Nothobranchius furzeri: one gene and its partners. The main gene of each other region encodes a partner of the protein of the gene in region 2 in a complex. Links are inferred from orthologs where the notes say so. Each region holds a gene or a part of one and is shown on either strand. Other genes may lie near its edges.

The links.
Region 1: taf1a (region 2) and polr2k share a complex: the UniProt entries of both Homo sapiens proteins name them as parts of the pol I pre-initiation complex. The link is inferred for Nothobranchius furzeri from reciprocal best matches to the Homo sapiens genes TAF1A and POLR2K.
Region 3: taf1a (region 2) and taf1b share a complex: the UniProt entries of both Homo sapiens proteins name them as parts of the transcription factor SL1/TIF-IB complex. The link is inferred for Nothobranchius furzeri from reciprocal best matches to the Homo sapiens genes TAF1A and TAF1B.

Annotation. Positions count from the first base shown.
Region 1 is NC_091759.1:1,440,954-1,443,795, reverse strand, and holds polr2k (DNA-directed RNA polymerases I, II, and III subunit RPABC4), read right to left. Parts: upstream 1,558-2,842; 5' UTR 1,426-1,557; intron 1,222-1,425; 5' UTR 1,216-1,221; coding exon 1,155-1,215; intron 900-1,154; coding exon 807-899; intron 706-806; coding exon 683-705; 3' UTR 587-682; downstream 1-586. Other genes in the region: stk3 (serine/threonine-protein kinase 3), read left to right, coding at 2,093-2,115, 2,807-2,842. UniProt on the Homo sapiens protein: DNA-dependent RNA polymerase catalyzes the transcription of DNA into RNA using the four ribonucleoside triphosphates as substrates.
Region 2 is NC_091742.1:8,327,699-8,331,352, reverse strand, and holds part of taf1a (TATA box-binding protein-associated factor RNA polymerase I subunit A), read left to right. Parts: intron 1-1,250; coding exon 1,251-1,409; intron 1,410-1,535; coding exon 1,536-1,602; intron 1,603-1,751; coding exon 1,752-1,875; intron 1,876-2,022; coding exon 2,023-2,177; intron 2,178-3,654. UniProt on the Homo sapiens protein: Component of the transcription factor SL1/TIF-IB complex, which is involved in the assembly of the PIC (pre-initiation complex) during RNA polymerase I-dependent transcription.
Region 3 is NC_091742.1:16,192,697-16,196,970, forward strand, and holds the start of taf1b (TATA box-binding protein-associated factor RNA polymerase I subunit B), read left to right. Parts: upstream 1-1,362; 5' UTR 1,363-1,494; coding exon 1,495-1,512; intron 1,513-2,764; coding exon 2,765-2,863; intron 2,864-3,812; coding exon 3,813-3,900; intron 3,901-4,091; coding exon 4,092-4,189; intron 4,190-4,263; coding exon 4,264-4,274. UniProt on the Homo sapiens protein: Component of RNA polymerase I core factor complex that acts as a GTF2B/TFIIB-like factor and plays a key role in multiple steps during transcription initiation such as pre-initiation complex (PIC) assembly and postpolymerase recruitment events in polymerase I (Pol I) transcription.

The DNA of each region.
Region 1 (2,842 bases), on a different chromosome or scaffold from region 2:
TTTATTTAGACACTTTTTTTACAATCTTCTTCGTAACTAAATATTCTTGTTACTAATTTCTTCTCTTGCATGTTTGATTAAAACAAGTCTCACTTAGAAATGAGACCCCATAATTTAACAAGATTATGAAAATTTTAAAATAAACACGACAACGTGCTCTCAGATAAACAAACCAAAAAACATTGGTGAATCTGTGAATTGTTGGCCAGCAGATGAGAATTTTCCTTCTTAGAGAAATGTGGTTAAAACTTTGAATTTAAATCCTAAAGGTTGATTTTTATTTCAGGAATGACTGTGGATCATATCTATTTAGCAGATGTGTTAAACTAACTGAAGAGTTTTCATCCTGTTAATGTTGCTGGCCACAAAGGATTTTAAAAGAAAACAGTCAAATCAAACTGATTTTTCTAAAATAAAACTTTTATGCATCATTATTATTTACTAAAATAACATAAGGAACACCTGACACAAACCGCGGATGCCAAAAACCAAAAAGGCTGAATTTATCTTGCTGCTCTAAGATGTTTCAGCAAGAAGTGCAATTTAGGAATGCCACGACCCGAATGAGCGAGAATCTACACCAACATGAAAGCTGAAGCCCCAGTTTATGTTTATTTACAAGGTCAGACTCAATAAAAACAGAAAACAACAACTAAAGATCAATCTGCAGCTCCACTCCTCTTCATCGTGCATCAAAAACAACCACTGGAATCAATGAGTCAAGGAAAATAAGCACACACACACACACACACACACACACACACACACACACACACACACACACGAGAGAGAGAGAGAAAGGATACATCTCTTTGTTCTCTTCTTGTACATGATTCTGTAGCCACATTCTCTGCATCTGATCGGGTCGCGGGCCTTTATTTCGTTTTCAGTGTGACACTCTGCATAAAAAAAAAATATATACATTTATAAAGACATATAAATGTATTTCAGAACTGCTGCAAAATTAATTTAGAACAGTATAATTGTGCAAACACATTAACAATCGACGTTTACATGCTGTCAGGCTAAAATGGAATATTTACTAATAAGAAATATGTTTTAATTAGTCATAACTAGTATTTTTCTGATGACTTTTCTATATTTCGTGAATAAAACCATCAAGAATTGCAATGATAGTTGCTTCATCAGCAAACCTCCACAAATGTAGATCATTGGTTGCTGCTTGGGCGGCTGTAGATCTTTCTGTGTGTCCATTTTGTTCTATAAAAGACAGAAATGTAAACATTTCATCAACAACCCTTCTTCTTGTTAGCATGCTAACAGAAACAGCATGGTGCTCCGGACATTAGCTCAAAACTGCATAAACGTCTCTGAATTTGGTGAAACTGTATACGCACAGAGCACAAATTAAACCGTGTACATGCATTTAGTTAATTACTGATGAAAGGAAGCGAAATGACTCACCGTTTAACTGCGTAATTTGGGAAATGTTTACTGTTTTCACACACTAAACCATCCGCTTTTACGATTGGGTTTCTGCGCTTGCGTCAAATTTCTTCTTCTTGGTTTTACAGGACGATCGACACGCTTTACGTGCCTTTACTGTCACCCAGCGGTTTTGAGGCATTGTGAATTATTCGAAACACATCTGAACTGATTTTAAAAATTGGAAGCAAAGAATTTTTTTTTGTATATTTTATACTAAAAATGTTCCTGTCTTGACACAACATCCTCTTGAAAGCAAATCCACAACACGGGTGTTTCATTTTTCAATTACCGTTACGCTACAAATTCTGGCTTAATTTAGTATTCTTTTGGGACCTTATGAATAAATTAGACTTTATTTAGAGTTTTTGTTTTTGACTCGAGCCAAACATTGTCAATCTGATTCGTAATTGTGTTTTTGTAAAATAAAACAATGTAAAGTGCGCTTCCGTCCCGACAGGGGGCGCTGTCGCAGCGTCGAACACAAGAATGTCCATCATTTGAAGAGCTCCCCCCAGCTGGCCCTCCTCCACTAGTTTGTGACAACAACGAATCTGCCGACAATGTCCACGTCTTGACTACCACTGACAAACCCGCGCTCTCTTTTTCATACTTTGTTTGACTTTTGTTTCCGAGTTGGTGTACCATGGAGCCGTCCGCGCCTAAAAGGTTTGTGAACGTTTGCTTTGAGACCTCTGCTTTACCACCAGGCTAATGTAGGCGGTAGCTCAGGATGCTAATGCTAAGCGAATTCAGTTCTCTCAAACTTTCCACAGAGATAAACAAGCAGAAAGTAAAAACACAAAACCGGTTAAAACCTCCATTGAGATTATGGTTTGTTTAATTGTTTAGACGTTTTTGGATTTCGCGTCGTTGGGGGTGATTTCATTGTCGCTTCAAAAATATATAATAAATTAAATGTGTATTAAGGAAAATCATAATTTATTCGAAGTAACTGTTTACTTTATTTTGGACCGATCTATTTACTGGTTAGCTTAAGCTAGCACCTTTTAAGTTAATTAAATTTAAAATGTATTTAAATTTTATAAGACAGTAGGATTAAATTGTTTATTATCTGTTTAATTTGTGTACATTGATACTAGGTTGCATTAAATCCAGATTATGATCAAAGACCAAAAATATCTCAAAATTTTTTTAAACAGTATTTTTATCTAGATTTCATCAATTATTTTCATCATTCCTCTTAAGTTATAAACACACACTCAAGTTCTCCTACAGAAAGTAATGTTTACTCTATAAAATAAACTTTGATGTGCATATATAAAGAAATATTGTGTCTTTCTTCCATTATTAAAGAGACATTGTGTTAAATACACAATATTTTTGCTGAATTTTTCAGCAAGCTGAAAAAGCTGAGCGAGGACAGCTTGACCAA
Region 2 (3,654 bases):
TTTACAGATGTTAAGCTAAAATTTGTTGGTAGTCGAGTCATTCACATCAGAGCCCTAACAGATCGCATGAGTTTGAGTTTGATCTTGTTGCACCTCCTTAAGTGTTGGAGATGCTAATAAGGAGCTTTTGGCCCAGTGTTCTAACGGAGCAGCGTCCAACTATGTCATGTTATGTTCGAGGAGCTGTGAGTCAAGCATACAAACGACAAAGTACAAGGAAAATGTTTATCGACTGTGTTCATAATTTTTTACCACAAAAATGAACTGATGATTGTGTATCACACTTTTATTTTACTACCTTCTAATTCTAAACATTTAGAAAATAAAGCTTTAAAATTTATCAAATGGACAAGTCAAGGGATCGTACGGTCGTTTTAAACAAGTATGATTATCTGATGGACAAAGTGGCCTATCACATTGTCATATAGCTTAAATGTATGATCTGACAGACATGTGCTGTCAGGCGTATGCTGTAACACGCGTATGCTAATCTTGACAACGTATGGTGATTGGACAGAACACCATTTCACGCCAGTTTCTTTCCCAATTCTCCTCCTGACCATCTCAAGGATCTGCCTGATTATTGTAACAGATTTAAAGATAGTTTTATCAGATATTCCTGCCGTGTGTGGTGTGTTAATAGCTCTCTGGTCTGCTCGGAAGGACTGCAGGACTGCTCCCGATCACAAATCGGGATATTAAACGTGATGGAATGTCTTGGTCAGACATTCTGCCGGTTGGATGTGACGTGTAGCCAGTCTGAAATTGTGATCTCGATTGGTCTGAGCTAATCTTGAAATATTTGACGATTTTCTCATCTGTAGTGTAGATTTTGCCGTGTAGCCAAGCGCCAAACACTAAAACTGGTAAATGTGATTTATTTATTTTTTTTAATGCCACACGTGGGAGTCTCTTATTTTGAAAATCATCCAACTTTGGCAGTGTGAGTGTCCTGTCACAATGTCCCGCTTGATGATGCGCACTGGCTACTTGGCCAAGGGGATGTCCCTTTGGCTGACTGGTTAGAGCGTATGACTCTCACCTGGGAGTCTGGGGATCGAATCCCGCCCGGGCCCTCGTTTCTCCAGCTTGCCACACTACCAGGACCATATCGAAGCACTTACCAACTTCTGCAGTCTTTAAGTTGTTGTAATGGTACTTTGTTTTTTCAGACACATCTTTTCTGTTATGCTGACCGTTAATCCCATCGTTCGACCGTCCCTGCCTCTTGTCTCACTGTATTTTGGCAGATGTTGGAGTTTTACGGGGATCACGTGGAGGCTCTTAACGTCTTGAACAACTACGCGTTAAACAAACGTTTTCCACCCAATCCAAACGCACACGTGTTTCTGTATCAGTTCCTGAAGAGGCACAACACTCCTGAGAAGAAGCTGATCAAAGTGTTAAAGGTAAAACAGCCCATGAAACTTATATTTTACAGATGATTATATCTCATATATTCCTAAGTATTAGCACTGATATTTAAGGACACATCTGCTTGCAAAACTTCCAAAATAACCTGTTTCCTGTTGTAGAATCTCCATGTTTTAGTCCCGAGCCACGAGTTGATGCTGGAGTACAGCTACTTCCTGCTTCAGTCGGGTAAAGTTCGCCTAAGAACACACTTAAATGAATAAAATAATAAAAACACATTAAATGAGTGTATCTTTTCAGCTTTTTAACTCATGATTTTGTATCCATATAACAAATGTTTGACCATAATTAATTTTATGTTTTGTTTTTGTTTTAAGAGAAAATAGGTGACTCTCAAAAAGCTTTAGGAGTCCTCCTTGAGATGCTGGACTTTGCCTGCTGGAGGAGCAACCTGGACGTGTGGAGGTGCTTGCAGGCCGTCGTTCAGGACCTGAGGTTACGGTACGCACAGATTTATGAAACTTTTTACATTCTCATTAGTTTTCCTGTCATAAATAGGAGCTAAAGCCTGATTAATTTCCCTCTGGGATTAATAAAGTATCTTTGATTTGATTGATTATCTGAGTTTTTGCTTGGATTTTAAACCAGAGACGACTGGGAGAGAATTGTCCAGGAACAGATGGCTTCAAGACAAGATTGGTGGCCTGTTCTGCATTTCACAAGCTTCCACGCTGCTAAAGACTCAAAGGAAAACCCCCAGCTTTGGAAAGTGAAGTCATCGCTACTTAAAATCCTTTGTCCAGGTGAGTAAATGCACGTGAGCAGAGGGCCAAATGCAAAAGTCATCTTAGAAAATTCTTTAATTTTTTCATATGAGCGAAACGTCTGTTTCAAAACATCGTAAATCTTTGTCTCAGCTTTTTATTTTTATTTTTTTATTCATCTTAAAATAAAACTAACTTTTAAAAGCTGATTGCAGCATCTGATTATCTGTAACTTCATTATCAATAATCTTTCAAATAACCGTAATTTCCTTTAAAATTTCAAGACGGATACATTTTCTAACAGTTTGTGAAATTATTTAAAGTTTTTGTCTCATAAAACGTTTGTAAATAAATGCACGATGTTTCCTGCCATCATGCTAGGCAGGCCCAAACGTATCGTGAGGGTCTGCTGGGAACGTCTGGCAGAGTCTCCTGTCAGAAGGAGCTTCAATTCTCACCTCCGACAGAACTTCCAAAATGTTCCGGGGGAGGCGGGGGACATTGAGTCTGAATGGACCCTGTTCCGTGCCTCCATTGTTGAGGCGGCCGACCGGAGCTGTGGTCGCAGGATCGTCGGTGCCTGTCGTGGTGGCAACCCCCGAACCCGCTGGTGGACACCGGCGGTTAGGGATGCTGTCAAGCTGAAGAAAGAGTCCTATCAGGTCTTTTTGGCCTGTGGGACTCCAGAAGCAGCTGACGGGTACCGGCAGTCCAAGCAGAACACGGCTCGGGTGGTCGCCAAGGCAAAAACCCAGGCATGGGAGGAGTTTGGTGAGACCATGGAGCAAGATTTCCGTATGGCTTCGAGGAGATTCTGGTCCACCATCCGGCACCTCAGGGAGGGAAAGCAGTGCACTACCAACAGGGAGGGAAAGCAGTGCACTACCAACACTATCTATAGTGGGGACGGTGTGCTGCTGACCTCTACCCAGGACGTTGTGGATCGGTAGGCAGAATACTTCGAAGACCTCCTCAATCCCATTGACACGTCTTCCAGTGAGGAAGCAGAGTCTGGGGACTTTGGGTTGGCCTCTCAAATCTCTGGTGCTGAGGTCACTGAGGTGGTTAAAAAGCTCCTCTGTGGTAAGGCCCCGGGGGTGGATGAGATCCGCCCAGAGTTTCTTAAGGCTCTGGATGTTGTGGGGCTGTGTTGGCTGACACGGCGCTGCAATATCGCGTGGACATCGAGGGCAGTCCCACTGGACTGGCAGACCGGGGTGGTGGTCCTCTTATTTAAAAAGGGGGACCGCAGGGTGTGTTCCAACTACAGGAGGATCACACTCCTGAGCCTTCCTGGTAAGGACTATTCAGGGGTTCTGGAGAGGAGGGTCCGTCGGATTGTTGAACCTCAGATTCAGGAGGAGCAATGTGGTTTTCGTCCTGGCTGTGGAACACTGGACCAGCTCTATACCCTTAGGGGGATCCTGGAGGGTGCGTGGGAATTTGCCCAACCAGTCTACATGTGTTTTGTGGATTTGGAGAAGGCGTTTGACCGCGTCCCTTGGGGGGCCCTGTG
Region 3 (4,274 bases), about 7.9 Mb from region 2:
CAGTTAAATTGGTTTAATGGTCAACGGTGCTAAGGACGTTGATATCCGGAAGGTGCAATTCAATTGTATTTTTATATTTATTTCTATTTTTATTATTATATAATATTTTCTGACGTTCTGTAACCTCTGTCGGTGTTGCGCTGCTTTTTTTGGAAACTGAATTTCCCGAAGGAATTCACCCGAGGGATTAATAAAGTTTTTTATTATTATTATTATTATTATTATTATTATTATTATTATTGTTCCCTCCTCTCCATGATTCATCATGCTGCCTCGCTGCTACCTACAACTGACTGGAAATTGTTTGTTGTTGTTATTGTTGTTGTTAGCATCAAGGGCAACATGCCAATTATCACTTGTAAGTCGCTTTGGACAAAAGCGTCTGCTAAATACATAAACATAATTTGGATTTGAATCTGAATGAAATAACTGACACGTGCACCAGGATAAAATCAAATTAGTCCAAATGAAAGCCATTGGACCAAATACATTAATTTAAAAGAAAGTCTAACTGTGAAAATAGTTTATTATTGCCAATTTGAGTTACCTACTTGTTTTTCACAATTAGAAGCCTGAGCTTTGGTGAAACATGTGAAATTATATAAAATATATATTTAACTCAAAATAATAGCTACATTAAACATAAATACATAATATGTAAGCAACTATCTTGTAACAGTTTATTTGATATTTTCTTGGTACACAGCAAATGAATAATTTCTTAAATTCTTTGTTTTGTTTTAGTGTTTGCTTTTATTTTGAAAGTGCGCCTCAGCTTGTTGTGCGTGTTGTCGCGCGCTCGACGGGCTCGTGAGTAGAACGCGTGTGTGCTCTCTGAGCTCGTGAAAGATGAACCCAGCAGTTGGGTCGTGAATTTTAGCGATTGTACAAGAAACATAAGCTCCTAACTTCCAGAACCACAACAGAAAGACACAAAAATAAAGTTTCTTCTGAAAAGCGACTCGATTCGTGACGTAACATAAGAGAAAGACGGAAACATCTGGCGAGTCTTTTTATAATCTCTGATCTCATCCAAATCCAAATCCGCTTTTAAACGAGAGGCCAAAGTCTGTAAAACACCACCAGCAAACATGACGGCCGAACCGAACATCAGATATGACAAAAATACAATAAAATACAGCAGAACTCTACATAAAATACCTTTTGAATAACTTTGTGAAAAATCTAAATGAGCTTTCAATAGTTTTAATTGGAACGTTGTAAAACATTTTCTTCCGGATGTACTTGACACGTAATTGATGAATGTTGAATTACACAGACAGCAAAAGCGAGTTATAACCATAGTTGGCGGTTGTAGTTCACATTGCAACCTGTTGGTGGCAGTATAGAAACCTTGCAGTCGCTAAAATCAACCGATGAAGATGAAGCGGTTCCAGCTACAAATACGCTTCTCTCATTTTAGCTTGAGAGCTAAAAGGAAAACCTAATGAATAAATTAAACACATAATGACCAGACTTTAGTTTTAAATCACGATGGATGAAGACGCTACGGTAAACACATTTAAGCATTTTTTATTTGTAAATATGTCGCGTACATTTAATTAAGGGGGAATGTTGATGTTAGCTAGCTGGTTGAGGCACACACAACCCTATTAACAACACGCCTTCTTTCATTATTATTAAATACGAAGTCCGAAAGAAATCATTTAACAACTTGGTCGGAATCTACAGCGGTCGGTTTAGTAATCGGCATAGATTTAGTAACGTTACCAACACGATCAACGTAGTTATTCAATCGTTCATGTAGAGGTTAGTAGTTTTGGCTAGCATTCCACCTAATTAGAGCTGTGAAGAAAAAAGAAAGAAAACGATCTTTTATGTAGCGCCTGTCAAGATAAAAATCACGTGGAGCTTAAAAAAAGTATAAAAAGGATTTAAAATATGTTTAAAATGAGAAAAAGTGGGAAACCAGTGGATCACATGAAAGGCGGAATAAGAGCAGAACACGGAGAGGGAGGTGATGAAGGTCCCACTAAAGCCTGCACAGGTGAGTTTAAAGGAGACCACGTAGTCCACTGACCTCAGGCTCGGGGGAGAGAGGTCCAAAGTCTGGGGGCCACAGCAGCAAATAATCTGTCACCTTTAGCCTGGTGCTGCACAACCAGTAGGCTTTGGTCACTGAACCTCAGGGACCTGCTGGGGGTGTAGGGACTAAGAAGATCACCAATGTAAGATGGTGCTTGTCCATGTAAGGCCCTATAGACCAGAACCAGGATCTTGAAATGAACCCTGAAATTGACTGGCAGCCAGTGAAGCTGGAGGAGAAGCGGGGTGATGTGGGTGTGTTTGGAGGACTTGGTCAGAAGCCGAGCACAGGCTTTCTGAACCAGGTGGAGCAGAAGCTGCTAATAGTTAAGCTTTTATTTGTGTTTATTATTTATTGAGTATTTAAACCCGTTTTGATGCACCAACATCCTGCTGTGGTCAAGAAAGTAAGATTTAACATTTTACTCTTTCTTTCTGTTTCATTTAATTTATCTAATTTTTCTTCAAAAGCTAATTTTTGTCTAACTCACTGAAGGTTCTCATTTTTCAAGTTTCTTACAAACATTTTTCTTATTATGCATCAGATTTTAGATTTAATTTATTACTTTTTATTTGCTTTTTTATTCAAAGTTTGTTGTGAATCTACTTGTGTGAGTTGTGAGAATATTAATAATATTAGTAATAATTTTTAGGTTTTTGTCAAAAGCTCAGGTGAGTTTGAGTTGCTCTCTTCACCCGTACCTGTGTTCCTGTCCAGGCTGGCTACAGGGAGCCCTGCGCTCAGTGTGCAGCGGTGAACTGGGGCATCTCAGAAGAAGGTCGTTTCTACTGCATGTCCTGCCACAACGTCATAGAGGTAAACAACAACAACAACTTACAAGTGATGTAGGTGTGTTTGGAGGACTTGGTCAGAAGCGGCGCACAGGCATTCTGAACCACCTGCAGACGGTTCAGGGAGGTTCTGCTCAGACACGTGAAAAAAGAGTTACAGTAGTCTAAACGTGAGGAGATGAAGGTGTGGATAACTGTCTCAAGTTCAGAGCAGGACAGAATGGGACTCAGCTTAGCAATGTTCCTGAGATGGAAGAAGGAAGAGCGAACAAGAGAACTTACATGAGAATCAATGAGTATGTTACCATGGTAACACTTCCTCAGATGTCTTAAAACTCTGAAAGTTAGAAGCTTCTAAATTCTCATATTGTGGTTTCTGAACATGTGTCTGCATGGACGTTATTAATGTGGGTTTAAGCTTTCCGTTAGCTTTAGCCATGCTAGCTTGCACTTCTGAGAGGCTGGAGCATTTAGTGTTAGACTGCTAGATAATAATAATAATTATAATAATAATAAGCACAGTGAAGGAAACTCCTGAGTTCACATTTTAAAGAGACAGTTGGTACCTTGCTGCAGCTGTTTACTGCTGATAATAATAATAGATTAGATTTATAAAGAGCTTTTGGGCTCTCTGCTGGTGATGGAAAACTCAAACGTAGCCATGCTGCCCTGGGGTTGTCTGAGAGGTGAGGTTGTCATTTTGCACTCCCTCTGATTACTGGACAGCAGGCTCTACTGATCTTAAGGTCCTCATCAGCTTGAATGATAAATGCTCTAGACTTTCTGACTGATTTCCTGTTTCCTCTGCCTCCCAAGTCCAACGCTTTTACGTACAATTGAGCCTGTCAGCGTCATTGCCATGGAACGTGGTTAAAACGGGTTTTTGGCAGCTGTAGTGCCTGTGGCTGTCAGCAGGAGGCGCTGTTTTATCTGAGGCCTCCCCTGATGGTTTTTATACATGTTCCTGTGCTCAGAGGACCATAGAGGTGGTGGACCTGAGCGTCGCTGGAAGCTCCAACAGATTAAAATCTATCGCCAAAGGACCCAGAACCAGTAAAGAAGGTGGGTGTGTCCTCTGAGGTGGTTTCAGCTGGAATAACCACACACACACATACACCACACACACACATACACCACACACACACAACTTTATTTTACAAACACAGACCTTTCTGGTCTCTAAAGCCGTCCCCAGATGTTTTCTAGCTGCAGGGGAACTTCAGTTTAGTTTCTGACAGGTTGATGTTCCTCAGAGCGCGGCTACACCTGGCTGGTCTGTGAGGGGTTCCAGTTCATCCTGAAGAACCAGGCTGACGCTCTGCTCCGGCTGGGAGTCGATCCGAACTTTAAGGTCCTTTTATTCTCAAGCGGATGTGGATGCTCCGGCGCCGGCCGATCCCGTCTGATCCGTCTGATCCATTTCAGGAGGTTTTGTG